Drosophila melanogaster: one gene and its partner. The protein of the gene in region 1 interacts with the protein of each later gene in a pairwise test. Each region holds a gene or a part of one and is shown in the gene's direction. Other genes may lie near its edges. The genes, in order: Frq1 and CG7518.

Evidence for each region.
Region 2: the proteins of Frq1 (region 1) and CG7518 interact in a two-hybrid assay, tested with the Drosophila melanogaster proteins (one large-scale study listed by BioGRID).

The regions. Positions count from the first base shown.
Region 1 is NC_004354.4:18,146,366-18,161,937, forward strand, and holds the start of Frq1 (frequenin 1), read left to right. Parts: upstream 1-9,003; 5' UTR 9,004-9,367; intron 9,368-14,647; exon of another isoform or gene 14,648-14,693; 5' UTR 14,694-14,863; coding exon 14,864-14,927; intron 14,928-15,572. UniProt on the Drosophila melanogaster protein: Ca(2+)-dependent modulation of synaptic efficacy. Also plays a role in axon terminal morphology.
Region 2 is NT_033777.3:12,991,334-13,006,956, forward strand, and holds the start of CG7518 (uncharacterized protein), read left to right. Parts: upstream 1-6,755; 5' UTR 6,756-7,251; coding exon 7,252-7,767; intron 7,768-8,107; coding exon 8,108-8,191; intron 8,192-8,249; coding exon 8,250-8,440; intron 8,441-8,518; coding exon 8,519-8,680; intron 8,681-8,737; coding exon 8,738-8,883; intron 8,884-9,057; coding exon 9,058-9,640; intron 9,641-9,745; coding exon 9,746-10,546; intron 10,547-10,615; coding exon 10,616-10,642; intron 10,643-11,295; coding exon 11,296-11,376; intron 11,377-11,437; coding exon 11,438-11,574; intron 11,575-11,636; coding exon 11,637-14,063; intron 14,064-14,134; coding exon 14,135-14,941; intron 14,942-15,012; coding exon 15,013-15,623. Other genes in the region: yellow-f, read right to left, coding at 209-349, 411-1,066, 1,133-1,462, 1,650-1,812; yellow-f2, read right to left, coding at 2,123-2,263, 2,331-2,986, 3,095-3,484, 3,601-3,772; CG7488 (uncharacterized protein), read left to right, coding at 4,358-5,291, 5,349-5,536; CG17327 (uncharacterized protein), read right to left, coding at 5,589-6,008; CG44194 (uncharacterized protein), read right to left, coding at 5,992-6,189.

The DNA.
Region 1 (15,572 bases):
ACATGGATTCTGAATTTCGCCTAGTAGGTTGTGTAATTGATATCTAGTTTCGTAGCAACACCATCATCCGCCTCCATCCAACGTACCTAATGTGCAACATTCGCCCGTGTGACAGTTGGGACATGCAACAGGGCTTGCCATTTCAGCTAGCCAACCTTATCTGCGCCATCCAATGCTCCGTACAAATTGTGGCCATGATGGATGGTCCCAGTCCAGTTTGGCCAACAATCGTGGAGAAATTGTAGAAATGGAGGGTCGCGGGGGAGTCACAAAACTTTCGGCACAGTCAATTGCGGCAAAATGTCACTCAATTTAAACTTGCCTCCAACCGACCGAGTATTCCTCCCCTTCGACACTAAAGCCTGGATGGCAGCCCCCATTCCGCATCCACATGGAGCCATCGCCACCCATGTACTTTTGTCACAGATTTAGTTCCTGACTACCTGACTTTGCTTCCAACCAGCTTCCATGGGCACTGCCTTCCTCTGTTCCTGCTGGCAAACACTTGCAACTTTTATTTGCTGCAACTTTTCGTTGGCCCATTGAATTCGTTTTCTCATTTCTACATTCGTCTCTATCCAAACCGAAGCGCCAGCCCCTTCCAGTTTTCACCTCCCCCACCTCCAAAAACGAAAATGGAAACGAAAACAAGAGGACGGGCTTCAGTCGAGTTTCTCGACTATCAGATACCCGTTAATCGGAAGATTGCTAAAGAGCGGTGGTTACAGTTCACTGAATAAACCTGAACTTTCAATATAAGTAGATTCCAAGATCCAGAAGTTCATTCAGTAAGATAAATGCACCTGTTACATACTCTTCAGCGAATCGAGTATACCCTCTAATTCAAAGAGCAATGGGTATAATGAAAATGCACCTGAGTCGAGCGGCGACAGCTCACGGAATCGAAATTGAAACCAAAATCAAGCGTAAAATTCATTTAAAATGTTCGCACCCACGCCAGTCGCCCCTTTGGTACTCCATAACACCCCCCCCCCCTCCACGCACACACGCACCCCCATACACACACACAAATACACACACATATATCCATTGAAAACAGAAAAACAACGCTAAAAATTTGACAAAAATTGAGTAAAGCAAATACATCGCTATTTTTTGTTGGCGAATTCCAGGGTTGCAATGGCCTTCGATTTGAAATGAATCAATTAAATATTTATATAATTTAAGAATATGTATAAGATTACTGTCTACTGTAATGAGACGTTGAAATTAACCTATAGTTGTATAGTATTATATATGACAGCATTTTTGTTAATATTACAACTTAATTAAAACGAGATTTATTTATTTACTATTTAATTAACTTTTTTTTGCCAAGATTAATAGTTAGAATAGTATGAGTTGTGTTTTCAAACTATACGTTATTCAATACGTAAGTTTGGCCAAGTTAGATAGTAATATCAATATATCTGAATATGTAAATCTAGATCGGTTCATATACATAGGTATCAGTACCCATTTAGTGCGAGTTTTGCGTCCAACTTCCCGCCACCAATATCCTTCGGCCCTGGCTCATCCTCTTCCGGCTTAACCTTCATTTGCTTTGGCTAAATGCGTTCCTTGGGGGCGGCATTTGGGCCGTCGATAGTCGTGGGCGTGGTCCGTGTGTGGGTAATTGTTGGCGCGGTTGATTTGATTGAAAGTCGTGTGGCAAGTGTCAGAATGGCATGGAACGGTGGCAAGTGCCGCTCAGCGGGTGTTGGGTGGTTGGTTTGGCTGGCAGGATGAGGGAATCCATGGTATGCGATATCGGTTGGCAAGGCGTGCCGCTGGCTTGGCATATGATTGTGTAATTGATTTGATCAATAGAAAGCCAGAGTCGGCCGAGAGTGCGGGTGAAAGTGGAAAATTTGCTGCCTTTGCGATTTGCTGGCCAAAGGAAAACCAATTTGGTGGGCTCACCGATAGCGAGTAGGTGCAGCAGGAGTGCCATCAACTTGAGGCAATCTACGCACGTACGCTCTGTAATTCGGTTTTCCCCTAGTTTTTTGTGGTCACCTTTCACGGAGCATATGTCGGTAGCTAAAGTTCAAAGTTAATTACAACATAATATTATAGGCTTTTTTCTATTAAATTATAATCAGCTGATAATAGACTTATGTAAGCTAGTAATTTCTTAGACAGTCGTAATAAGCACATATGTAAATTATTGGAATTATCTAGAATAGAATTTAGATCAGCTATTTGAAGCTTTTATTTTGAATTGCCCACGGGAATATTATTTAATCAATTGTACCTTATTTAAAATCATAAAAAACTTTAGATATATAATAATATAAGATGTGATACGATTTGATTTCTGCTTGCTATTAAAATAAGAAATTTTCCAATACATTAAGTTTGGCTTTCAAAAACCCAACAGAGTATTTCTCTCTTCGACTTGAGCTTGAGCATCATTACTTTTTCGAGACTTCATTTGTTTTTTCGACGCTTTTCGACGCTTTTCTATTTCTATTTTTAGACATTTGCGCCATTGAATAGGCTTGGAACATTTGACCGTTTTACCGCTTAAGAGCTTGACCCATGGCAGCACGACCTTTTGCCACGTAATTTGTTCGAATATGATGCGGCCCAAACAATGGATGTGGGCGTGGTCCCGAAATTGGGCGGGTCATAGGCGCTAAAGAAAAGAATGGAAGGCCCGTAAAATTGGCGATTCGAGGGGCGAAGATTGGGGCTGCGGGTCCAAAGTAATCTTCAGTCTCAGTGTCGGGCACAACGATTGAGATTCTCATTTTTATACTCATTCCCGGGGGGCATCGATTTTTGTCCCCACCTCTCCGCTAGTCCAACATTCTCCAGGGAGTTTTTGAGGTTCACGAGGGGGGGGGGGAGATGGTGGGGGATAGGAGAAAGAATAGGGAAGTCGGGCGGGGATAGGAAAAATCCGCATTGAAAATGTGCCGCGCATCTATTTCCATATAAATTGGCTGCCGCTCAACCAAAAGCATCCATTGCTCGGCTGCTCAGCTTCCTTCCCTCGTTTACCTACTGCTGCTCCTACATGTATATCCCCCGATTTGCCCCAAAACCCACCAAACCTCCGCTCCTCCCATCCCACCACCACGTACCCCTATGTCCACATGCTGTAAACTGGGGCCAGGCAACTTTGCCAATAATAAAGCGCCATTAGTGCTGCTACATAAAGTGGGTTTGGGGCCAGGGATGGGGTATGGGAAAATGGGGAAATGGAGAAATGAAAAGCAGGAAAATGGGAGAAAAACCGAAGCTAGAGAGATATTGAGCAACCGGGGGATCCACGGAGGTGTTTGGGCGGAATCTGCTCCCGACCAGGTTGCCTCCAGCAAAAAATGGCGGAGCCAAGAAACTGGGAGCTGGAAAAGTCGCCAGGAGGAAAATATGGAAATCGCTGCAAGGGTAAAAATAAACATATAGCGGAGTCACAAAAAAATTCCAACTGATCTTAGGTTCCGTGTCGAGGTATTCTAAAGTGAGTTATTTTGTTGGGAATACTATGCAAAATAATAACTTAATATTTAGTATAAGTGTATAATTTCAGGTAATAAAAAAAGATACTTATCACTTATCACTATCCTTGATACTGTTGGCAATCTGCAAAAACCTTTTAAAGAACTTTTTCAAATGATTTTAATTCAGTTCTTGCTTACAACAGACTGGTCAGAGTTTCGCTGGCGATTTGCCGAGATTCGTTTTACCATCAAGTTAATCATGTTATTGAAGCTACCCGAACTGAAGTTGCAAAATCCAAAACAAAGGCAAAGGCCGTTCAGAGGGCGATTGTGGCAGGCACACACAGGAAATGTGGTGGGTGGGGCGGTGTCGAAGGGCGCAACAATTCATGTAGAATATTGTTTATGAATTCAGCTCGCTATCGCAAATCTCACACACACATACACACACACACTAACACACACGCAAGAGCGCACAGGAGCAAGCAGGAATTTCGTAGCATACTTTCATGGGCAATTGATAAGCAGTCGTCGTCCTTTGCGGCAGGGAGTTTGTTATGGTTAAAGTTTCTGCGGTTCTTGCCACATATTTTGTGGCTGTCCACTTCCGCATTTGGAGTGTGAGCAAGTGGACCCTATGCACGTACATATTAAATATACACATATATGTACATACATACATATAGTATGTATATATATTTATGTACATAACATGACCCTGCCTGCGGCTCGACTGTTGTGCCATTGCCGGGTCCAATCAAGGAAAGTGTTAAGGTTTTATGCTCAACGCACATGAAATCACTCTTGGCCATGGCTTACGAGTATTCCAAAATTCTCGGCCAATTGAAACTTTTCGATGATGCGGGTCTGCGGCCATTTATGGCTAATGATTTAGTGGCTTCCATTGATTTATGGCCAAGTGGGTGCCGCACTCAGCTCAATCAGCTGGGAATGACTTGGTTTCCCCAATGGACCTCTGAGCTGTCGAATAATTGAGTACAGTCAAGCGTTCCTAAGTGACCAAGTATTTCAGCTAGCTATATTTATTCGAATATATGCAGCAGGTTTGTATATAAATAAATTCCACTTAAATTACCCAGTTTTTTGTACAGTTCATTTATTTTAATCTACTTAGAGTCCCTTTTTTATTGGTTACTTTTACAGAAGTTTTTCTGCGTTTAACTAAACTTTATTTCTGCTTTTTCCTCTTTGTCCGCTGGTTTTTTTTTTTTACACTAGTGCTGGCACTCAACCCAATTCCCCTTGTCACTTCATACAAAACTCAATTAATAAAAGTTGACGGCGCCCATTGAGCGTAAAACTGCGTTGATGAGGCATAAAAGTGTTTTAACCCTGCGCACACACACAACTCACACACAACAAAAAAAGAGGCATACCTCTATGTACAATACATATATATATATATTTGATAACATTGCCGACCATCGATGAAACCCTTGAGTGGGGACAACTGCCACTCGACACCCATTGTGGCATAAAAAAATTATGCAAATGAATGGGCCACGCAGGTTCGGGGGAGCCGCTAACGATGCTAACCATGGAAAAAAGTTGAAAAAAAATCAGGAAAAAACTGAAGGGAAAAACAGTAAGTAAGGGACGCACACAATGGAAATCCCCGAAACAATAACAATCCGCTGATGATAATCTCCAGGCAGGTAACGAGCGAGTCCTGGCTTCCGTCTGCCGTCACGCATTCCTGCCCGACACCCCCGCAAATTCCACCCACACCCCACCCTGCAATCCCCTCCCCCTTACAACCCTGCCCCATCCACCAAGTTGTTCTTCGTGTTTTATGTTAATGAATTTATTTATTATTATTTCATGTTTTTTGTTATTTTTTTTTTTGTCGAGGGCTGTGCACCTTTTTTCCCATTTTCACTTGGTGCTTAGGCCTCGATTCAGAGCCACCGTAAATTAATTTGGCCACCGCAGGATGTGGAAAACAAGAGAGTAACTGGCATTGGCAGTCGTAAAGGGGCAACATTGCGTATACGCCATGTGGGCGGCTCTTATCGCTACACGTGGACTATCTGTCGCTGCTGTTCGTCTCTAGATGTTTGTCTCTTAGCCCCGTTAGGTTTGTCACCTCGCTGCAGGCGGATCGCTAGCAAAATAACTCTTTTATTTGTCGGTTTCGCCGCAGAGCCAAGACAGTTCCAGCAAGTCCCTACAAAGTCCCCGTCCAAAACTAATTACAAATGTAGCATTTAGAAGGGACTGGGAAGCTGGATGCCGCCACGGCATCAGCTAATTATTTAAAATGCTCGGCGACATTAAAAAGCACTTTCGCCGCGCAATGATAATCACAAAATGTTGCCGCATGTATCCCGAGCAAAATCCTCCATGTTCTTGTATATTTTGTGCTGCTGCTTTTGTGGCTTTTTTGATAATGACGCTGATTAGTCAGCGCTTACGACAACTCGGCAATGTCTTCTTCTGCTGCTCCCTCCACAGCTTTATTCTCTTTTTCTTTTTCTTTTATATGGCCGAATCTTGGGGCAAGAAGACGAGGCAAGCTAGATAGAGAGAGAGAGAGAGAGTGAGTGAGGGAGAGAGGAATGAGCTTGAGGATTAGCAACTTCTAGGAACTTTAAAATTAAGTTCCCTCAACTGTCTCTGACGCAATCGAGTCGACTGGAAAAACGGAAATGGAAATGGAAAACTGTGTTCAACAAAAAACAAAAATACGCAAAAACGAAACGAAAAAGAACTAAATTTGATTGATGGCAAAGAGTTTTGTTTGCCGCTTGTTTTCTTTCACTGCACTCAACTTGGACATATAAACTGAGCAGAAATATTCCCATTCCCATTCCCATTCCCATTTCCATTTCAATTTTCATTTTCACTTGGGCAGGGGCTAAATTGGGTTGGGGTTCGGTTAGGGGTTTTGCGAAATTTCATAACAAACAAACAGAAGTAAAAACAAACATGGAAGCGTCTGACTCATAAAAGTTTAGTTCGTCTAATTGCAGCTGAAAATTATTTGGATTTGCTTGGGATTTTGATAAATTGCCCAATTCCATTCGAATGGATAAACACACATCCACTGTGTACAGCGCACACACACTACACACACACACACACACACCACCAACGATCCGAAGAGTCGTCTTTAATGAACTGGCCCATGGATCGGCGAGAATCCGCAGATGTCTCGCTACCGAGGTTAACACCTCATGGTCCTCCAGAGGGCCGTAAAAACTGATGCGGCCATTGGCTGGGCAATTAACGGGCATGGCAACAACTGGAAAAGCCACGCCGCCACTGGGATGTGTGTAAGTACAGTGCGTTGCGGTGCTGTAAGGCAGTGCGACAAAGTAAACGGTTAACTTACTGCTTATAATTTTACATAGAAGATGGATTTAAGATACACTCCTTAAATACAGAACGTTAAATCTGACTATAGTTCAATAAATCCTAATAAACACATTCAATATATACCCTTTTGTGTTACAAGTTACTTGTAACTTTTACACTTTTGTGCCGCACTGTGCGCACATAGCAAAATGTAAATTTTCAGCCAGCAACTAGCGCTTTTCGTACCGGCAAAATGCCCACCCACTTGGATGTGGTTTCACTGGCCCCTCCCTGTCCGTCCACATTGGGGCGCCTTGAAGCCCCAACCCCAACTCCAAAACCCCACCCCCCACCCACCACCATACCACCTCTACTTGTCTTTGTCTTTCTGTGTGTTTTCAGGGGGGGTTACGTCATTGAGGGACACGCAATGGCAAATGTTTGTATTTTTATTATTATCGTGTTATGCCATGTATTTGTTTGTTTGTTCGTTTGTTGGATTGCCGGATTGTTACTCAGCCACGTCATAGCGTAGGGATCCTTAAAAAAAAAGAAGAAAATTTAGGAGGGGGGGGGGTCGGATGTCTGGGGGGAGAAGGACTCGTTCTGGAGGTGCGCCCGTCGCTCGTACGCACTTTCCCCCGCCTCTAGGATTTCGCGTATCTAGCGCTCTGGTGATAAAGTTTTTCCCCGTCAACTGCTGCTGCTACACAGAGCGAAAAAAGGCGAAGTATTCGTAGAATTGGAAAGAATGTTCAAACCGTTGAGAATTTTATATTGTTGCAAGTTCGCTGAAAATTATCATAATTTTATATAAGTATTTTCAAGTATATTGCCATTAAAGATCTTATATATATGTATATATTTGCATACATATTTTCTAACACAAAAACACACACGAAGTAAAAGCAAACACAAATCCGTCTGATTCAAAAAAAAAAAAAAAACTATCTCTTTTTAATTGCAACTGAAAAACATTGGGAATTGCCTTGGATTGTGATAAATCGACCATTTCCATCTGAATGAATAAACACAGCATTTTTTAATGGTAAATGTGGGTCGTAAACTACAAAATACACTTCGTTTTATTAGCATTTTCGAATTTATTAATCGACCTATTCGAATTAACCTTAAAACGTTTAAATATTTATGTATTTAAGCTAATAATGAAAGGGAGATGAAAATATGATGAAAAGCTAATTTTATCGCAGAATTTAATAAAATGCAACTTCGGTTTTGGGATAATCTGCTCAAGTTTCTTTTACTTGTGGTTAATTGCAATACAATACAATAACTTTTATTTTTTTGTTTGTTATATTGTTATTTACTTTTATTAAATTGAACAATTAAGCCAATAAACAAAAGGCAACCCAACGATGATGGTAAACTTCAATAAATAAAAGTTAACTAAACTAAATTTAAGACTAAATGTTGGAAAATGTTTTCGATTGTAGGAAAATCGTCGCTTTCCATTGGGCCGTACTGTTATTTTCGCTGTGTGCTGCAAAGTGGGGGGAAATTTATCGCTAACTGCTTGGCTGATTGTCCCAGTTCTTGTTCGACTTTTCCCAGCTCTTTGGCGATTTGGGCTCTTATCTAAGACCATTGCCAGCTTCTGGTAATTGTCGATGGCTCCCGCTGCAGAACTGGTGTCCACGGGTTTGCCATTTTCGCTTCCATGGAGTTCAATATTCACGAGGGGTCCCCGTTTTTGGCCCATTTTTGCGCTGGCTTTTCGGTTTTCCTCCTCTTACATTTCTTTTTTTTTTTTTGGTCCTCCGCAGCTGCTAAACTCTTCGAGTTTTTTTGTTGTAAGTTCTTGCAGCTTTTAACACGCACACAGAGGCGCCTCAACACGCACACAACGAGACGCGTGAGAAGAGAGCGGGAGAGCGAGCGTGTGAGTGGGTGAGTGTGGTGAAAAGCTTCGGTGCCTGCGCCTTCGTCATCGTTTCGAGTGGTGAGTTCACTGAAATGCCTGCATATGTGTGCGTTATATAAGTCAGTTATGAGTCGCGAGTACCGTAGTGTGTTAAGCGAAGTGATGGCAGAAAGGGGGCGGTAGAAGGGGTGCCCAACTCGAACTCACCACGACCCATTGAGAATGTTACCAAAAAAGTTCTCAGTTGTTGATAGCGCACACACATATAGCCAGCCGTTTGGCCGTACTGCCGCACATTCCGCCGTATTCCATATTCCGTATTCCGTTCGCCGTGGAGCGTGCAGAGCGCTTTCAGTCGCTGATTTGACCGCCAAACAAACGCAACGCAGCTCGGCAGGTTTTTAAGTTTACAATCAAATCGCTGGTTCGCAACGACAACAACAAAAGGACAAAGCGCGCTCTCCGGTCCACGGAAATCGACAACAACTACAGCAACGGCAACAACAACATTAGCCGCCAGTGGCAGCAACAAACAACCAACAATAACAACAAAATAAAGCCATTACCTAAATAGTTGGTTTGTTTTCCTTTTTTTTCCAAGTTCCAATCCTGCAAAATAGTTGACATTTTTTTTTCGGTTAAATAATACGAACGTCAAGCAAACAAAGCAAAAATAATAAATTATAAAAACGAAACAAATACGACAAACAAAAAAGTAAGCAAAAGTGCGAAAATTAAATGAAAACATTAGTTGTGCCGCAGAACAAAAAAACAAAAAACAAAAAGAAACAATCAACAAAGGGATCAAGTGTTTATTTATATTTGTGTAGCATACTTTTGTGCGGCAGCCAAAGATTAATTTACACAAAAGGGATCCGCACACGCACACACCCACGCACACACACACACACACCCGCAGGCAGACAGGGAAAGAGATAGCTTGAGAGGCGAAAGAGAGGGCAAGACGAAGGTTACTTTCGCATTTATGCATATGGGATGCCTTCGGTTTGGTTGGGGTTTTTAGTTTTGGTTTCGGTTTTGGTTCTGCCATTCGTTATGCTTACAAAACTTGACCCAAATTTACGTTTTGCGGTCCAGCAGCTGCCGCTAAATAAAAAAAAAAATATATATATATATAAAATAAACGCGGGGGCGGTGAGGCGGGGCGAAAGGGGATTGGGCAGCGAGACAACGTGGAAGGATTATGTAAACAAAAATAAGTTTCCCAGCCCAGCGAACTTGTGTCGCGACGCTTAGACTTAACCTCCAAGGACTCAGTTTTCTCATTTTTCACTTGGGGGGCAGGCACCTCAAAATCCCCAGCCCCTCAACCTCTTCCATTCCCCTCTAACATCCATCAATGGCCGCAATCATCCGCACACAATCCGTCCGTAATCACAAATGCAGTCCCCAACTCTCACCTTGCGTGTCATTTCCTCGTTTCTTTTTTCGTCCCCCAATCCTTTTCCATTTTTTTTTTTTTTGCGAGTGACAAAATAAAGGGAGAGAACAAATCGAAACACGGCGCTACAAAATGCATTTTAATTTGCATCAATTATTTGTTAATTGGCCATGGGCAAAACGTCCGCACAAATTCCGGAATTGGCACGAAAATAGCTGCAATAGCCGAATTGAGGACGGATCTTATCCGTCCGCCTCGCTCATTTGCAACCAAATTGGCCAATCTGTCCGGGCTTAATAGATGCAATCTGCCGCCATTTGATGATCTGCTAACTGGGATATTTGATACCGCAAGATGTGGCCACTAAATGCCCAGTTATGCTATTTCAAACGTTTATTCAATTATATTCAATTATAGTAAGCCATTTTAAAGTGATGTTACTCTTTAAGATATTCCTCATAAATAGACTTCAAGATCCTTTAAAGTTTAAAGGTTTTAACTGCTTTTATCGTGTTTAAATATGTGTCCTTACATTTCTTTGGGGTTTCACAAAACTCGATGTTTTTGAAACACAAATATTTTCATTTTAATGTGCTTGTATTTGTTATTGTCTTTTTGAAATATTTAAAAAAGATTTATTTGGCCATAAATTTATAAGCTTAATAAGTTTCTATGAAGACCAACTTTTCTGATTAATAAAGTATAACTCCTTAGTTAAAATTTTGGAATTTCAGCAACTAAATTCGTATTCGTTTGGCATCTGAATAATTTCCGAGTATTAAATGCATAGCTCAAATGCTAACAAGTTGAGCCAATTAAAAATTTCCAGCTTGCCATATTCTCAGTAAATTTATTTCATTTTCTAGGTATTCAGTTGGCCTGGTTTCAGTCTGCTTTTCTAATTTCCAAATTAATGCTAAGTTCATGGTGATAATGTACAAATTAAACCAATTATAAATTTTCACATTCGCAGTACATCTATTTCAATTACTTGTCAGTTAGCAGCCTCGAAAATATTTTTGGCATCTGTCCGATTTGCTAATTTCGAAATTCATGTTAAAATGCACTTAGCCCGTTGCCATGAATATTTCAATTGTGATAGCCGCATTTAGTTTGCTAAGCCCTGCAAACCCAATCACACTTTTCTCCCAGGAATTCCACATTAAATACTCGGCGGAATTTCCATTGCCAAGATGAGTTGGCAACCGCCGCTCTTGGCCCGGCCTAATCCAATCGCCTTAAGGTATTCACTGACATTTAGGCAATCCCTCGACACTCTGGTTGCAGTCCGACCGCCATGTCTATCTGGCCATCCGCCATTTCAGGACCTTCGGGATCCTTTTCCGCTCATCGAAATCTTCGAAATTCTCGAATTCTGCATTGTTTGCATCGAGACATTCGCCCCATATTTGGGGTAGTGGATGAAGTTCTTGTCATCCATTCCTGAATGTGGCTGAATGTGGGTGTAAAAATTAATTTACCACCTCCGCGTGGTGGTGAATGCGGGGTGACGGCCCCGCCTTTGTGGGCTCCGCGTCTTGGGTTCCCTGCCTCCTGCCGTCGGCCAGCTCAATCTTCATTTGCATTTCTACACAGCCAGAAATCGGTAATTCTGCAGTTCGCCAATCAAAGTGCTTAAAGTGCTTAAAACGGTGGTAATCACCCGGGAACCAACAAATTGCAGTTTGGATTTAAAATAAGCATAAAAGCTACAAAATCCTTGAAATCTACAAACTTTGCTTGCACCACCAAAACTGTGAATAAAACAAGGTGGTTTGCATTAATAGTTTGGGATTTTCTGAACTTTTAAAAATTAGGAAGCTTAACACTCAACAATTTCTATCGCTAATCAATAAATACAATAATTTATTTCTATGTTTGTTTGTTTACTTTATAAACAATTTACCTCAAGTTAATAGGTTTCTTTTTGTGCACAGCGACTTTCCTTTTCATTGCTTTTACTTTAAGACACCGCTTTCAATGAAATTGCTTACAATTTTGAATATACTATTCGCTTTTTTTTGCCAGTGTAGCCCAGCTTTCGGGTATCGTTTACAATCCATTTCATTCGAATAAGTTTGCGCGTCGCTCCGTTCCATTCACTGCGTTCCGATCCCGATCCCCCTGGCCATGCCCACATCCACATCCATTTCCATTCCAATTCCTCCAGCGCGCAGTTCTTCGCCCTTTTTCCCATTTTCGGTCCCACTTTTGTTGGCAAGTGTAGATGAGTGCGAGAAAAGTGTTGCATGCTCGCGGGCTAAACGCGAGATGAACACGCAGCTGAAGGATAAAAAGGAGGCGGCTGGCTCAAGAGGGGGAGTGGCTGATGAAGGAGGAGGCGGGGGCGGGCAAGACAACAACAACAACTGCAGGCAGTATGAAAAATAAGCACACACCCACACATAGACAGAGAGAAGCAGGGAAGAAGGACACATTCAGACAGATAAACGAGTCGAGTTACAAGCCAGGACTTTTTTTTTTTTTTTTTTTTGGGCCAGCAAGGGAGGGGGTGTAGAGGTAGATAGCGAGGACCTGCTGCTATCTGCATCCCTGTCTAAATAGTGCCATCCCGCTCGTTGGCACTGCATTAGCAGCCAGCTGTGAACGAAATAAACGTAAAAATATTTTTAGTGTGAACAAATTTGAGCTCGTCGTCGCTCGTTGTAAAAGGCAACACAGAATGAAACTGAAACACTGCGACAAACGCACACAGATACGCACTCACCCACACACACACTCACGCGGCAGCACACCTGACATGATAACACACACACACACACACACACGCAGAGGAACAAACTGTGTTTAGTTAGCAAATGCCAATGGCTCATGTTCGCAGGGCAGACAGAGAGAGAGAGAGGAGAGAAAGAGAGAGGGCGAAAGGGAGAGAGTAGGAAAGTGAGTGTGTGGGTGTATCACTTTGCGTGCCTCTGTGTGCGACAGTTTTGTAAACAAACAAAGTCAAAAGCAACAAGAATTTTACACGACTTGAACGAAGATATTGGAGGGCCTCTCTCTTTGCTGGCTGGCAGCCTTTACATAATTGTGCCCAGCCCAACAATAAAAATGAGTTCATTAAAAGCGAAAGCAGGTGACCCCATTACCTCAAGTAACTCTCCATATTTGTTATCCAGCGAAAGGGATATGAAAGTCATTTCGGGCCCTTAATGCCAAGGCTCCTGACATGGAAGAGTTTTGCTCATAGTTAATGGGTGAATAGGTCGAAGGACAGGTCATCTGCTCTATCTGAAGATACTTTCTTATGAAGATACTCTTTTGAAAAGATACGTTCGCTTGTATACGAACGTTTGATTTAATTAGCTTATCAGCCTCATAACCTCAAGTAAATCCTCATATTTTATATTGGAATTAGTTGGTTTAAGCATATATCCTATCAGCTAATAGCACTTGAGAAGGTCCGCGATTTCCTCGATCAATTGGTTTGATTTGAACACAATTCCGGAGCACAAATTAAGTTTCGTGCTGTCAGGATGAAAGGGATCATCTCGGATATCTGGCGATGAACAGCAGTTCCGTCACGTTTACCACCAGCTCCTGACTTTTCCCCGGGGATTGAGTGTTTTTGATTTCGTTGCTGCACTTGATACGACCGCTTTGCATGCGACATCTCGACGGGACTGCATCTGAAATTAACAGAATTTATTTCATTGCATACCACGGAGCCCCCTTCGCCACCTTCCACCGCTTCGCTCTCCTTTTTCTCTGGTGGCAGAGAGGAGAAAAAATACAAAGGCAACTTATTTTTATGCCATTCGCGTCAACCGCAGAAGGCAACAGAGGAAAACGCCCCCACCAGCCCGCATCCACCCCCTTTGGCACACACAGGGTTAAGTTTTTTATGCGCTTTTGTTTGCATCCTCTGCAGCGGGCCACGCCCTCCGCCCTCCGCCCTCTGTCCCTGCCCCCACCCCCCCATTCCGCCCACATCTAGACGATTTTTTTTTTGTTGCCAACTGTCATGAAAAGTTCGAGTCGAGAGTTGACCTGAAAAGTGTCGCTCTGTGTATTTTTATGCCTTTCAATACATCGCCCCACCACCCACCTACACACACACACACACACAACGACCCCATGGAAAAGCGCCCCTTTTTTCGGCACGCCTCTGGCCTCGTTATAATCATAGTGCGGCGTTGTTGTTGTTGTGTGGAAAATCACTAATTGAACAGCGACGAAAAGCCAAGTAAAAATAGTTTTTAATCAAAAGACACAGGACACATGAGGGATTATCGATGGGTTTTTGATGGATGAGCCTCCTGCGAGTGGGTGGCCAAAATGAAAATCCAACTGAATTTGAAGCATCCTTCGCATAAGATCTATTCACACTCCTTTTAAGCGCCACTCGAGAAGTTATTGAGCTGGGAAAAAAGTGCGGCCAGAACTTTTTATAAACTATCTTGGTCCGTTATTGAGATGCAACAAAATTGAACCCGTATATATGTATGAATCTATATACATATATATATATATATATATAGATTTAATATCAGCAAATATGCCGTGAACTATGCACCACACTTTCCTACTTTCCTCGCATTTAACTTTTTTTTTTTTTATAACAAAATTATAAAGCATATTAAAATACTTATGGCAAACTTTTGAATAACCGAAACAAAAGCAACTACAAAAATTGCAAAGTAAAACGAACTTGCGCAGCGCAAAAAAGTTTGCCACTAAAAAGCAATAGCAGTCAAGTGCAACAACAACAAATAACAAATAACAACAACAACAACAAGAGGTAGAACAACAACAGCAACAACAACTAGGGAGCCACAACAAGAGAACAACATGGGAAAAAAGAGCTCCAAGTTGAAACAGGATACCATCGATCGCTTAACAACGGACACATACTGTAAGTAAATCGCAACACTAAAATGTCTCAATATTCAAATATCAAATGGTACAGTGCATTTCAGCAGCATAAGTACTCAATTAACTAGTGGTACAGTGCGTTTCAGCAGCAAAAGTACTTAATTATCTAGTGACTGTGCGTTTCAGCAGACTTAGGCAGTAATATGAAAAAATAGATAAACCTACCATTTTAATGCACATTTAATTAAAGTTAATTAAAGCACATGTGGCATATTAATAATAAATTTTAATTTTCGCAATGAATTCAATTAATATATATAAAGCTATATAAATGGCATCCAAATGACACAGAGTAAATATAAAAATAAACTACCCAATTATAACATATAATGGCACACCTTTAAATGGTAGCTTAAATAACACTTTATAAATTCATGTTGTTATACCTTATCCCCTTAAATCAAGGACCTCAACTGTTTCGTTAATCGCCAGGATTGCTTACAAAAATTGGCATTTACCCTTGGGAACTGAGCTCGCTTAATACTAACACTATATCAATTCCACATCTAGCTCATTTTATTATTTTTCCATCCACAATGTCTGCAGCGTGTTTTTCCTGCCCCGCCCTTTGATTTACCTTGTAATAATTCCGTTTTCTTATTTATTTATTTGTTTGTTTGTTTGT
Region 2 (15,623 bases), on another chromosome or scaffold:
CTTTCATGTTTTCATTTGTTTCGTGCGAAAAGACATACGCATCTGTCGTAACATATAAGATGTGATAAAAATGAGTACTCAAATTTAGGCAATTTTAAACGATACATATGTAAATGCTTTTTGATTTATTTTATTAATAAGTTTCCGTGTGTTATTTCGATAAACATATTACTTATGCGAAAAATTCATTAAAGCAATTCCACGCAAATCACTCACAAACTGTTCCCCTCTTGGCCAGCAATGTCGACTGCCTCCAGATTCGGAAATTGTACTTCTCCACATCCAGCTTGGAGTACACAAAGATGGGCATGGAGTTGGACATCACCCAAATGTATCCCTCCTCGTCGATCTAAAACAACAACGCACTTAACCTTCGTTTTCGTGTTACAAATAGAAAGGGATGAGCTTACGGTCAAATCGCTGGGATAAATCATCTCCGATGAATTGGAATAAACGGAGCCATGGTTTTCCGTTGAGAACGGCTTGCTGGTTTTCCAGCAGCCCACTCCACTCTTCTGGACCTCGGCAAAGAAAATCACCCCGGTCCGCGGATCGTATTTATGCATTGTGGACTGGGTGGACGGACCACGAGTTCCCAGAAGATGGAAGTCGTCTCCATGATCAGAACGTGCTGCATTGAATTCCTGCTGCAAGACCCTGTTGCTAACCACAAACTCATTCGTGCTGGCCATAGGATGGAAGAAGACATCCCTGCTGCCATCGGGCTTATATGATCCCAAGGTCGCCGAGAAAATCCCGTCGTCCCAGCGGAAGGTCTGCCCACCAATGTTGAGATTATCAGAAAGGGGATCAAAGTTAAAGAAGCTGTGCTCGAAGGACCAAATTCTATCGCTTCGCAGGTGATAGACGTGCAGTCTGCGATTGACCAAATCCGGAATGTAGGCATAGGCATCGTTGCACCTCCGAGCGCCCACATCGATTGTGATGCTGGCTAGTCCACGTCCGATCTCCACTATGCTCTGCGGAATCTCAAATCGTTTCAATAAGCGATCGTTAGCCAAATCGATCACCCAAATGCTAGGATGTCGAATCTGCTGGCGATTATCTGATGGTTATATAATATTATTTTAACCTGGATCACCTTGCCTATAAAGCAAATGATTATACTCACTGGGAAACTCCAGCATTCCGGTGTCGACGAACCAGAGACGCCCACAGACATCCACTGAGGTTCTATAGACAGACACTAGGTTCTGCTCGCTCGCATTATACTGATTCACCGCCAAGTTGGGATAGGCCCGTAGATGGGGACTCTGACTCCACCCATCCTTGGCCAGATCGATGTAGTTTAAGGTGGACGGAATGCCCGGCTGTCGCCGTGGCACGGTGACAAAGAGGCGTCCTCGAAAGTGGGTTACTCCTTGGGGCACGTTGTTGTATTGGATGAAGGATCCTGAGGATGAGGAGCCTAAGCACTTGCGGGAGTTGTAGAAATGCGAATCTTTGTCGAACGAATAATTGTGATATATATACATATTATTCGTTATAAAAGTGACGATAAAATGGTGATTAAAATAATATTCATATTACAACCATTTCATAATGTTTTGTGGAAAAACTTAGTGATTCACCGACATTTGCTGATGTTTGAAATTGAACATATTTCAATTGGATATTTTTGGAGTTACCTGGAATGCAGATCCTGTTCCACAAATCCTTATAGCCATCGCCGCGATTGTAAAAGTCCAACTGCTTCCACTTGAAGACCTCAATCATGGGATCTCCATCTGCAGAGATTAGCAATTGGAACCCTGAGATTGCGCACAGGAGCAGAACGTCCAGCGATAACATTTTATAAAATTCCGGTCGTTCGCCTTTCCTGGCTGAAAACCCACTTGTGACTGACTGACTCCTCAGCTTGGGTTCAACTGAGTTAAACGTGCTCTGCGACTCAAAAATGAGCTCAGAATGTAAAGTGATAAGAGCAGTCACTGGGATTCCCAAGCTCTTATTTTCCATGTCTCTTTATTCAACTTTTAAGATTTGTTGATAATCTGAAGAGTATATTTGTAAAGCTAACTATTTATTCGAAAATTTCGTCATTCTTACTTATGTATGTATTTTTAATTAAGTAACAAATTCAACAGGAATTCCACACGAATCACTCACAAACTGTGCCCCTCTTGGCCAGTGAAGCCTTCTGCTTCCAAATCCGGAAATTGTATATACTCGTGTCCAGTGTGGAGTAGATGAAGATGGGCATGGAGTTGGACATGACCCAAATGGTGCCATCCTCGTCAATCTGCAATAGTAAGATGAGATGTATAACTTTTTTTCTTCAACTTTTTTATCCAAAACCATTTGCTTACCGACAAGTCGCTGGGATAAATCATATCCTCGGCATTGGAATCCACAGAGCCATAGTTTTCCGCCGAGATGGGCTTGCTGGTCTTCCAGCAGCCCACTCCGTTGCGCTGGATCTCATCGAAGAAGATCACCCCAGTCCCAGGATCGTAAGCGTGCATCGTAGACTGGGTGGACGGACCACGGCTTCCGAGTACCCGGAAATCGTTCCCATGATCGGAACGTGCGGCGTTGGATTCCTGCTGCAGAACCCGGTTGGAGACCACAAACTCATTCGTACTGGCCATGGGATGGAAGTAGGCATCGCGGCTCCCATCCAGTTTCTGGGCCCCCAAAGTTATTGAGAAGATGCCATCGTCCCAGCGGAAGGTCTGGCCGCCAATGCTGAGATCCCCGGACAGCGGATCGAAGTTGAAGTAGTTGTGCTCGAAGGACCAGATTCTATCGTTTCGCAGGTGATAGACGTACAGGCGCCGGTACACCAGATCCGGAATATAGGCGTAGGCATCGCCACACTGACCCGCCTTCACATCCACGGTGATGCTGGCCAATCCGCGACCCGTCTCAGCTATACTCTCCGGAACATCGAAGCGCTTCAGCACCTGATCCGTGGCCAAGTCAACTACCCAAATGCTGGGACGGCGGATCTGTTGGCGGTTATCTGGATATGAGAATCATGATTGAGTTTTTTATATTCTTGGTCACCAAATTAGATTAATACGGATCGATCCTGATCTTTTATATTACATGTCAATACATGCCAACTCACTTGGATACTCCAGCATTCCCGTGTCGATAAACCAGAGACGCTGGCATGCATCCACGGAGGTTCTGTAGACGGACACCAGATTCTCCGCACTCGCGTTGAACTGATTAAGCGCAAAGTTGGGATAGGCCCGCAGCTTGGGGCTGCGATTCGATCCGTCCTCGGCCAGATCGATGTAATTCAAGGTGGATGGGATGCCCACCCGTCGACGAGGCATCGTGACAAAGAGGCGGCCGCGGAAGTGAGTGGCTCCCATGGGCACGTTATTGTACGGAATGTAGGAGGCGTTGGGGTCGTCGCTGTCGGCGCGGGAGCTGACCACTACCGGTGTATCGCGGGAGGTCATAATCTTACGCTTTCGACGAGAATACTTTCCAGGAAAGACAACCGGAGCTAGTTGAACAATAAAAAAATAGTACATAAGTAAATACCAATAAATCTATCTAACAAGGCTCGCGAGATTGCTATTGCTGAATGAGAACTAGTAATATCATATTATGAGTACTAACCTGAAAAGCTGGGCCTGTCTTTCCTTCCGCCCGAGCTTAGATGGCCATCTCCGCGATTGTAAAAGTCCATCTGCTTCCATCGGAAGACCTCTATCATGGGATCAGCATCTGCCAAGGAAAGCAGCTGTAACCCTGAGATTAAACTTAGAATCAAAAATTGGGGCGATAACATTGCTCGGTTTTCCTGGGGAACTATAATCTAAGTTCGCCTTGCCAAGTTGAGGCCTCAATAGCGACTGAAAGCCAATTTGTTCCCAATTGGAATCTATTCTCACAGCGGTTCGAACGCAAATTATTAAAATTGATAAGAAAAGCGCGACTCTCACAAGTTCTCAAACCGGTTTTGTGACTTGTTAGCCTGATAATAATCGTTAGTAAAAATCTAATTATTTACATACAAATGGAATTATAAACAGCTTTCAGCTTTTCTTTCTTTTTATGTTGTATACATATATAAATCAATCACAAAAACATGAGAAGAACATTTAGTTGTAAGAAACGTTACGCTATTCGTTTATGAAAGCATTGCTGTTCTAGCAATATATTCTCTAGCAATTAATAATAATTAACCCAAAAATATAAATTTAATGCATAATTTCTAAACTTAGAAAACTAAAGCAACAAATTTCGCGCCAAAAGACTTAACGGCGATTTATTAAATTAATCAAATCACTACCAACAATCGATAAGAGGTATCGATATACAAAGCTGTTGTGTAAATCGTAATTTATTTAGCGTAAACAGTGTAAATAGCAATATGCGCTATAATCTGTTAGCCAGTTCGTTAAAATTGCTGAATAGCACGAAAACCCACAATTTGTTCTTGGTGAACGTGCGCAGCTTGACCGGCGCCGCCCACACCAACGATGCAGTGGCTCCGACCACGCGCCCACCGCCCGCAGAATCGAGGAATCCCGGAGAGGAGCAACGATCACTGCACATCGCGGTAATTGGAGTGCCCAATGTGGGAAAGAGCACGTTCATCAACAACACGGTGAACCACCGAGTGTGTCCCACCTCGGCCAAGGTGCACACCACTCGGCAGTCGAACACGGCCATTTACACCACCGGCCAGACGCAGTTGGTCTTTTACGATACGCCGGGCCTGGTCACGCAACATGAGATTCGTCGGCACCACCTGGACCAGAACTTTAAGAGTGCCTACCGCCATGCCATACAGCATGCGGACATCATCGCCGTGGTGCACGATGCCTCAAATGCCTGGACTAGGAAGGAACTGCATCCCACTGTCTTGGATACGCTGAAGGCGTATAGCAACCTGCCCAGTTTCCTGGTGCTGAATAAGATAGACGCCCTGAAGTCGAAGCGTTTGCTGTTGGATCTGATCAAGACACTCACCAACGACACCTTGACAGTTGGCAAGCGGGAAGTCCAGGCAAAAAGTGCTCTCGCCAAGGAAATAAGAATCAACAAGCGGGAGTCTAGCTGGAGCCATTTTAGCGACGTGTTTCTTGTTTCCGCCTTGACCGGCAATGGGCTGCAGGAGATGCAGAACTACCTGGTGGGCCAGGCTAAGCCCAGGGATTGGAAATACCCAGCTGACATTCATACGGACTCCAGCCCAGAAGCATTAATTGTGGAGAGTGTGCGGGCTCGTCTGCTGGACTACTTGCCGCAGGAGATACCCTACAACCTTAAGTGCGAGATCGAGTACTACAGTGTGGAAAAAAGTGAGTACTTCTGTACACTCGTAAAGAAATCCTTTTCAATTCCGATTTTCTTTGCAGATGTTGTCTACACATCCGTGCAGGTTCAGTGCCCCACCACGCGAATCGAGCGCCTAATCTGTGGCGAGGGTAATGGCAAGCTGCGGCAGATCACGGAGCGAGTTACATCAGACCTGGTGGAGATGTTCGGCCAAGCAGTGTCCCTTACTATATCTACAGTTTCCAAGGGCAAGAAGACCGCCGCTTGAGCACTTGTTGATTACTTGTACTTTATTTGTAACGTTGCATAAACCTAAGAGTTCACAAAAGCTTCAAATGCGCCACCAATTTGTCTAGATCTTCGGCAGGGGCTGGACCCAGTCCGAGGACCGTTGCTGTCCCAGATTCCAGCTGAGTGCGCCCGGCATCCCTCACCAAGGCGGCCACCACGTTCGACTCTTGGGCCTGTCGCTCCAGGGAGTTTAGCTGCTCGAAGTTGTCCACGCGCAGCACTATCTTCGGCTGTCCCAGGCGACACCAACGCTGCAGAATGGCGTTCTGCAGCTTGGTTCCCTGCACAGAGCTCTGGTAGCACATGACCGCCGCATGGGCGCACTGGGCCGCTGTCTTTCCCTTGGACATCTTTAGGTCGGTTCGGACCACCAGCGCCAGTTTGGTGGACTTGCCGAAGGCCAAACCGTTGCTGAGGAACTTCTGCAGGATGCTACTTGACGTGGGCATACTTCTGGCTCTGCTGCTCCACGTACTTCTGCATGCACGCCCGGAACTCTTTCACCTTCTCCTGGCAAGCCCTCCAGTCGCCCGTCTCGGCGATACACTCCTGCACCTTGTAGTGAAGCTCTATGCAGCCGGTCTTCTTCAGCATTAGTTCCACGGGATCCTGGTCCGTCGATGCGGACATTTTCTTCTCCACTTCGCCGGCTGAATTCGTTCGTTTCGAAATTACGAAATTCGGTCAGGGTTGTCAACACATCGAAGGGACACGGATATATTCTGTACGACATTTGGCCCACTATCGAATTGAAAGAATTTACTGTAAAATATATTTTCTTGCATTATAAATGTGTTTATTCCATAGACAGAATAGGAAATTTTTAGATCTTTGGGACCTTTTTCTGTATAAATACATGATGATTTGTTTTACCTACAATATATGTTGAAAAAAGTATATGAAACATACATTCCTATGGTTTTACAATTTTTGTATGGCTTAAAATGCTTTTTTAACATTTCCCAAATCAAATTTTTAAGAACGCATTAGTATAGTTTTCTAAGAATGGACCACACAGAAGTAAAGTAAAGCTCATATAAATAAAAGTTTGTGTTTGTTCTTTGGGATAGATGTAGAAAACTTTTCGGCCAAACAAGTGTGCACGGGGTATGACCATTTATTCGTGACTCTTGCGCGGCGTTGCGGTAATTTGAGCGAAGGCCGCCACGGGCACACCGATGCGAATGCAATCAACGAGAAACGAGCGAATTGCAACGAGCAGGCGAAAAATCACAAAAAGCGGAAAATCACAACAATCGTGGGTGCAAACGAAACGGAAACTGCGAGGCAACGGAAAGTCGGGTCCCGGAAAATCCAAACGGATGGCCCTGCAGTGAAACGCTGATGAAAGCAGAGGCGCACTTGGCGCGATTCGAGGGGCAAAGCGCGTTGCGTTGTGCTGCTCTGCGTTCTTTTCCAAAACCGATTTCGATTCCAAAAACCAAACCAATCCAATACCCACACTTATACACTTGCACACCGACACACCAGCGCACACACACAGACACGCGCGCGCATACAGTGAGCGAGTGAAAGTGCATCTACATCTGTGATTTCGTATATAATAATGCGTCGCGCATACGCGGATTTGGCCAGCAGAAGCACCAAAGACTAACAAGTGATCCGGAGCCGGGGACTGACTGAGTTGGCTGGGCTCATTGACCCATCCACCGCGTGAAAGCCCCGCCAGAAATGGCCGATCAGGTGGCGCACACCAAAGAAACGGATGCAGATGAGCCGCTGGTCAATGGCGAACTGCCAATGGAGGAGGCGCCGCCTTCCTGCTGCCATGTGATGTCTCTGTCCTCCATGGACGTAGATGTAGATGCGGATGCGGAGGGCGATGTGGATGCCACAGCGTCCTCCTCCTGCGTCGCCACCGCTTCCCAGCTGAATCCGTCGCCACCGCCTGCTGGTGTCCAACAGGCGAAGCCGGCGCGGAGCAGCTCACCGCCATGCCAGCTCCTGGAGCGGCTCAGCTTTCCCGACGGCAACATCATCAACACGCTGCACACGATCCTCGCCCTGCCTCCTTTTGATCCTTATGCCCCCGCCCCCAAAGCGGAGACGGTCTACAAGGAGGTCGTATCGCTGATGCAGTGGAGCCAGCGGGAAGACAACGCCATCGAACTGGAGCTCAGCGACAAGCTGCTGCACGAGTGCGAGCACAAGGGCGGCGATCCCAACGATGAGACGCGATCGTATTTGGTGGGTTCCCAGAAGCTGCCCGAAAGCTGTGGAGATCGATTTCATTTCATGTATTTTTTTTATTTAAATGTACTATTAAAGATGTGTGTGGGATTTTTTTATATTATACCTACATTTAGATTGGATTTAATGAGTTATCAAATCAAATGGGATAGAAATTATCTTATTAGATCGACTTTAGATGTTTCGAAATACTTAAACATGATTTTTTTTGGTTTAAAGAACACTTATTTGAAATTATGCTTTAGAATATTGATAGGTGCAATCATACCAAATACATTATATTTGAGAATATAAAGCTTTCTCAGTAAATACTCACTATCGTTCACCTTCTTTTCAGATGGCCATTGAGAACATGCGCCTGTTCTCTGAGGATCCAAAGAATCCGCTTCGTGACGCCGACGGACAGCTGCGTGCAATTACGGTGTGTTTGCTTGAAAGGATTAAGATGTATAACGAAACGTACTCCTAATCCATTGTAGCTATATTTCCAGAATCTTGCCTTCATATTTGTGAAACACCGGAAGGAGGAGTTCTTCACATTTTGTTCCTGCAAGGAATGTCTCGAATACCGCGAAACCATCATGGCCATCATGATGGATCAATTTAAGGCTGCGCACATGGTGGTCATGTTGCTAGACGTACTGATCAAGGCCTACAGTCCCATGTTGAAGTAAGAACAGTCTGCAAAACTGCAATAAGAAAAAGTCTCCTAAGTCAGTTGGTAATCATTTAAACATCTCTGTTCCAGAAACGATGCTGCCTACAATAAGTTTGAGAAACTGCTTGAGTGCAACAAGGAGATCTATTGGATTACGAGCGGTTACCTCTACGATAAAAATGCCGAATATCTTGATTTTATTGATGATACAGCGATCTCCGACAATATGATATTAGTGCTATTCAGCGCCATGTAAGTGAACACCCCAGTCCTGCATTTGTTTACTTTAAACGCATTATCTGTTCACAGATTAATGGCTAACAATCCGATGCTGCTGCTACAAATACTCGCCTATAATGTTGAATGCATTGTGAAAGCGTTTTCCGAGGGCATGATCGAAATTGCCCAAAATATTCAGGAAAACGAGAAGATTTCGGCAGAAAGGATGCTGACATGTAAGGGAATTCTCAAATGATAGCTAACTAAATAAATAAGGGGCATATTCTTCTCTTAAGTACATAAATTTAGTGACTAGGAGGAATTTATCTTTTAACTCGAACTGGTTTCATAGGGAAAATCCACTTACATATAAACTCAATGAATCACTCTTGTTTTTTAACCCTGTGTAGACATTCTGGACGGCTACTCTGATCTGAATTGCATCTCGCAGAAGATCTCGCTCAGCCTGTTTGCGTTTGAGAACGATTTCCTGCGAAAGTTCAGGCTGTCGTGGGTTCTTCTATGCCAGCGCCTTTTCCAGCAGCATGTATTCACACCCCTGGGTGATACCATGCTGGCCTGCATCCTGTCGTTGAAGGAGGTGGCTCCATCGGCCCAGACGACGGCGCTGATTAAGCGGTACATGCTGTTCGACGAGCACATGCACTCCATTGAGCGGCGCTGGACGGACATCTGGATCGAGCTAAATAAGTTTAACTTGTCGCCAACGGAGCACGAGCGCCGGATGGGCCTGCTCGATGTGTACAACATATTCGACAAGGTCGTCCTGGACGCCACATCTTTTTCGCTGCCGGATATCAGCGACGATGAGTTTATAGACTTCCAGCGCATCGTCGATCGCCAGCTGGCCTGGAAGAATATCATGGCCTTCACGAAGCTGAAGTGGCCCGATGGCTTCTACGATCCGCCCAATAAGCTGGTGCACGAGGATCTCTGCAAGAAGTGCAATTCACTTCTCGAGCACCATAACGAGTAAGTAGATTGGGTAGATTGTGCACCCAATCTGAAATTTTACAAAATAATAAATAATATAAATTAAAATTTTAAAATTATTTTTATCATTATGTACCATATCAGGAACTGCAAATGCATCACTTGCTCCATCGCCGGCACTCCTTTGCGACCACGACAAGCGGGCCATTGTGCCAAGTGCACAACGCTCGGCATTGTCGAGAAGGATCCGAAGCTGATGAAGTCCAAGATCCTTAGCACCTGCACCAGTGATGAGGCCAAGCACAATGCGGCCATAGCGGCTACTACGAGCTCCTCCACCTCCACCGCCCAGCAACAGCGACGCACTAGCGATCTGCCAGAGGATGAGTCACCAACAGGCAGCGGCAGCAGTGGATCGGTGTTCCGCCGCCAGGCAGAGACGTCCGATACCCTGCGCACCACATATCACATCGCATGGGCGGTATTCCAGCACCTGGCCACCAGGAAGCGCTATCGCCACGAAACCATCGAACCGCAGTTCATCTGCGGTGAGAATTGCCGCGTTTCCGCTTGCCAGCTGGCTAGAAAGATCCTGTCCAACCAGCTGTCGCCGCTGCTGACCAAATATCTGCTGCGCTGCTTCCAGCCGCTGTCGTTTACGCGGGAGGAGCTGCGCTCCACGATTCCATCGCTGATGTTCTTCAATCGGAAGCTGGCGCCTAGTCCCGCCGAGCTGCAGGAGCTGCGAAACCAGCACTATGTGTACAAAACATACTGGACCTTCGTGCTCTCCATCTACGCCAACTTCTTTGTAAAATTCAACTCGAGCAGCACGGATTTCGGTCACCTGGAGCTAATCAAGGGCGATCTGCGCCTGCGGCTAAACAGCGTAGTTGGCGACAAGGAGGACAATCGGTTTGAGCAGTTTCTGGCTCAAGTTATTGGGTAAGTTTTCTCACCTAAATTGTTTCCAACGTGGATGTTTCTTAATAGGCTTTCTTTTCCTCATCGCAGATACTCACCTTTCAAAGTCACTGATGAGTAAGTATTGAAGACCAAATGTTTTGACCAAACATAAACTTAACCAAGGCAGTCCTCCATTTTTCTTTTTTGACACGTGCCATTTTGACATTTGCGGACATGTTTTTATTAGGGACCATCTACACCACAAGCATGCAAACAGGGTTGCCATTGCAAAATACTGCAGGAGTTAAAAAATAATAATAAGCCTGTAAAGTTGTTCGATTATGTGTATAATTAATTAATTTTTAATTATGCTTTTAAAAGGTAATAATCTAGCACTTGGCAGTTAATAGTGTTTTTTTTATGATCTGTCCTAAGTGGACAATAATTAAATGTTGTATATTCACTTAAGCAATACAATCAGTAGTTGTGGGGTGAACATTCTCTTGGGGGGTGTGCCAGTTAAGATATGTCTTTTATTATTCAGCCAGGATGGCACTTGCATTAACATCTTGACAATATCGGCTATCGATTACTGATAATTTGGATCCTTACCTTTGCATATCGTTATCCTCTCTAAGAGACCTGTCAATTAAATCGTGACAATTCAGATTCTAGCAGGCTTCTGTTTGGCACGCCAGAAATATTAAGATTTTAAAAACGAGAGTGAATAAGAAAGGACTTGAGTTGTACTGTTGTGATTCTAAAATTAATTATAATTATCATTGCAGTTTTACTTTGGGTGATGCCAACATAGAGAAGTTGCAATTTGGAGTGGATCAGCTAATGATGTTGCACGACTCTCAGATAATGTAAGTTCTAAATTATAGCAATCATTAAATCATTAACTTATGAGATTATGTTTCATTGCAGAAAACGCACTAAACCAGATAGCACTACTGGCTTATCGGGTGCCAAATCCAAGTTAGGGGAATCGAACGTGCCCCAGTCCGGAGGCAAAAATGGCGAAGCTGGCGGCAACAAGAAGAGCAAGGAGAAGATGCGAAAATGTGAGGAGCTATGATTCAGATTTCTGCTAAGATATTAAGGACGTGTTTTTTATAACCTCTAGGCTGTTCTGACTACGCGGACATTGGGGAGCCCTGCAAGGAGAATCATTCAAAGAAACGGGTCAAAAAGGAGTGCAATCATGCGCGCTTCAATGAGACGCGCGATCGGCTGCGTAAGAAGCTCTCCCAGATCGTCAACGAGCGTAAGACCAAGTCCACGGAGGAGACCACGCCATCGAAGACCAAATGCAGCAAGCCGGAGCCAGTTGCTGTCCCCGCACCGGCAGCCATCCCACCGAAGCGGCCGCCATCACCCTTCAATCCGCCAAAGTTACCAGCAGTGTTGGCTGTGGCGGCTCTCGACCGAATTTGCCGCGAGGAGCACGAGGACGACAGTCTACTGCGTCTGGACAGCCTCTGCAAGAGCCTGCAGAGGCACACGGATGCCACAGACGCCTCGGCTGCGGCTGCTGCTCTGGCCGCTTTCAAGCACGGTAGCGGCTTTCCAGCGGACTACAGCAAAGAGGACATGATGCAGGACTTTGCTGAGTTCCTGGGTACCTATACCTATACCCGTGAACAGGACCAACAGCGCTGGATCAATGAGACGCTCAACTTTATCGAGGGCAAGTCCCAGCAGCCGCACACCGCGAATCCCAAGAAAGCAGCCAAGAAAGCCAAGCAAAAGATGCGCAAGGAGGAGGAGAAACGTATTAAGGAACTGGAGGATCTGCGCTGCCAGTTTCTGGACATCTATTTCAAGGAGTTCATTGACAAGTATGAGATGAAGACCTTGACGGCTGCAGGCGGCCGGAAAAAGGAGAAGAAGCGCATCGGCGAGCTGGAGACGAACATTAAAAACCTTCAGCGGGCAAAGGCTAAAGTGGAGACAGTGATCCTCGAACTTATTGCCACCGTCAAGCAGACGAACAGCGAGTTCAAGTTCTCCTACTTGCCTACCAAGCAACAGCAGCTGGCCAAGATGGCCCAGCTGGAAGAGATCCTGAACGGGGGCCCGACCACTGCCACTGCCGAACCTGTTAGACAGGAGCCTCCACAGCAGTCTGCGCCGCAATATCCCGAGTTCAGTAGTAACGCCTCCTTTTACCATCCACCAGGACTCGGGCAGCAGAACACGCCCGTATGCTTCGCACCACCCCAGCAGTCCCAACATCCGCCTCAACTGTCTCGCGATGTGATCGCCGCCATGGCGGCCAGCTCCATCACTGCCGATCCCTCCAAGCGCATTGTGACAATACGGCGGGTGCAGCTGCCTCATCCGGGCGCCGAGCAGCAGGTGACTGTAGTGGCCAAAGGCAGTGCTCCGCACGAGGACAAACTGCTCTACACTTTTGTCAACGGGCATATGGTGGCTTCAGGTCCGATACAGCCAGAGGAAATGGCTCCTCGACAGGCAACGGTTCCGGCTCCAGCGCCCAGTGTTCCTGAAAAGAGTGCCAAGGCCAAGAAGAAAGAGGCTAAGCGAGCTGCCGCGGCGGCAGCAGCAGAAGCAGCAGCTGCGGCCGAGGCAGCTGCAGCGGCAGCAGCAGAAGCTGCGGCGGAGCAAAAAGCCAAGCTAAAGAACAAGAAGCAGGCGAAGAAGACAGCCGTGGCTGTGGCCACCGCCTCCAGTTCCACAGCGAGCAGCAACTCCTCAAAGTCGCAGACGCCGCAGAGTACGCGCGAAAGCTCGGTGTGCAGTGTTAAGCCAAAGACTGTACCCAAGAAGCCGACTTCCAAGCCACCCAAAGTTGTAGAAGTGACACCACCACCGCCTGTTCCCGAACCGGAACCGGAGCCACCCAAGAGGCAGAAACGCTTGAAGTCGAGACTGGATCCTGGACAGTTGGACAACAATCCGTGGAAGGCGCTGCACATGCAAGATTCGTCGGAGGGAGAGTGGGAAACTGGTAGTGAGTCAGACGAAGGAGTCCCAACACCAGCGCAGCCACCAATAAGGCAGCAGCCCAAACTGCCAGCTGCTCCGGCTCCCAAGCCCGTTGCACCGTCAGTGGTCACAAAGGCGAAGCCGGCTCCAGCCGCAGTTGCAGCACCTGCCAAAAAGGTGAAGCAACAGGAAGCACCGGCCCACCAAAAGCAACCAGCTGCCAAGACTCAGGCACAGCCTAAGAGCAAATCGACGTTTGCTTCCGTGGGCAAGTCCAATCCGCCGCAACAGCAGCAGCAACAGTATCAGCAGGAAAAGGTGCCGCCTACCAAGAGCCAGCAGCAGCGTCCAGCGGAATCATCCAGGAAGCAGAAGCAGGCTCCTGGCAATCTCGAATCCAATCGCAGCGCTCCGAATCAGCGCTGTGAGCATTTGCAGACGCAACAGGCGCCTCGCAGTGGACGGGTCAATGGTCGAACAAAGCCCACGCCTGGAGGTCAACAGCAGCCCGTGCAGCAGCACTCCAACGCTCATGCGGCGGAATCCATTGCTCCGCCAAAGAAGTCGCAGCGTGGAAAGCGCGGACATCGCCAGAAGCAGGGTAAGTTCAAGTTCAACCATTCATTGGTAAACCTAGAACGCTATTATTACTTATTTTATGATTCCCTGCAGAGGATCTCTCTGGCATTCCACACAACATGGGCTATTTCAATCCCAACGAAATTGCCATACCGCCGCAGTCGGGAAGCTATGCCAGCACTCTGGCTCAGCAGCTGCAGCATTTGCGCATCAGCCAGCCAGGAGGTAGTTCCAACTCGAAGGAGGCATCCCAGTCGCCCAACTGCAGCATTATGGACCAGCTGAACCGCGGTGTACAGGTGGAACACCTTTCCCTACCGCCTGGCATCACCCTCACCAAGGTGGATCCGGCTAAAAGCGAGCAGTTACGCCAGAAAAGTGAGTCCATCCGTTTGCTGTCCAAGCCACTGGCCGAGCAACAGCAGCAGCAGCATCACTTCCAGCAGCAGTCTCACCTCCTGGCCGGCTACTATGGAGCAGCCGGTGCCGCTGGCATGGATCCCAACGGTGTAATCATGGTGGAGGCCAACCCACGGCCCAATCGCAGCCAAGCTCCAGTTGCACCACCCAATGTGGCTGCAGCGGCCTCCGCAGCGAGCGCCAACGGAAAAGCCTCTAGGCGTCGTCGTCGCAATCGTGGAAAGTCTGGTGGCGGGAGCGGCGGAAACCCAGGCAGCTCGGGGGCGGCCAACAAGCAACGAACGGGAGGAGAAGGCGGCGGATCAGCAGCAGGAGCGGCTGATGGCCAGATATTGGCTAACTCGCCAGCCACTGCGGCCACCATTGAAGCTAACGCCAGTGGTAATATTATCACGCTGCGCAATCCCATGTTCCATCAGGGCAATGGGCCAGTGGCCGGCGGAGGCATGATGCCGCCCAATCCCAATCCAATGCCGCCAGGTGAGTGGTTCTTCTACTTGTCGCAATTTCATATACGATAATAACCAACATATATTAACTATTCGTTGCAGTGCGCAGCTTTGGCGCCGGACTTCCGGTTCCTCCAGCCATGTCCTTGGATCAGCCTGCCGCAATCATCAAGAACGAGAACGGCATGTTTACCATACGCAATCCGGCGCTTCACCAGGCTGTGACCAATGGCCTGGCCATGGGAGGCTATCGCCAGTTCGGTGGCAATGTCAACTATTACACGCCCCAAGAGGCTGTGGCGGAAGCGGCACGAGCCGCCCAGCAAAAGCTGCAGCAGCAGCAGCAGGCCGGTAGTGCGGCCCCAGTTGCTCATGGAGGCGGCGACAGCTCGAATTTCTCCTACTTCTCCAGTGGATCGGCCAGTGGCAACGGCAGCGGAAGCAGCAACGGCGGCAACGGGACGCACAACAATATCAGTATTAGCTGTACCAACGTTCCCCCAACCAGCGCCGAAAGTCCTGGCCGATTGGTCGGCGAGGCGGCAGTAATTGCCCGTCCCAAGCACTCACAGAAATGTCTATCGGCTATTGGCAGTGAGCTGAAACAGAAGGCCAGCAAGTGGCCGTGCTTTGGTCAGCAGCAGCAGCAGCAGCAGCAGCAGCAGGATTATAGCAATAGTGCTGGCGGCTCTACGAGCGGAGTGCCACTGCAG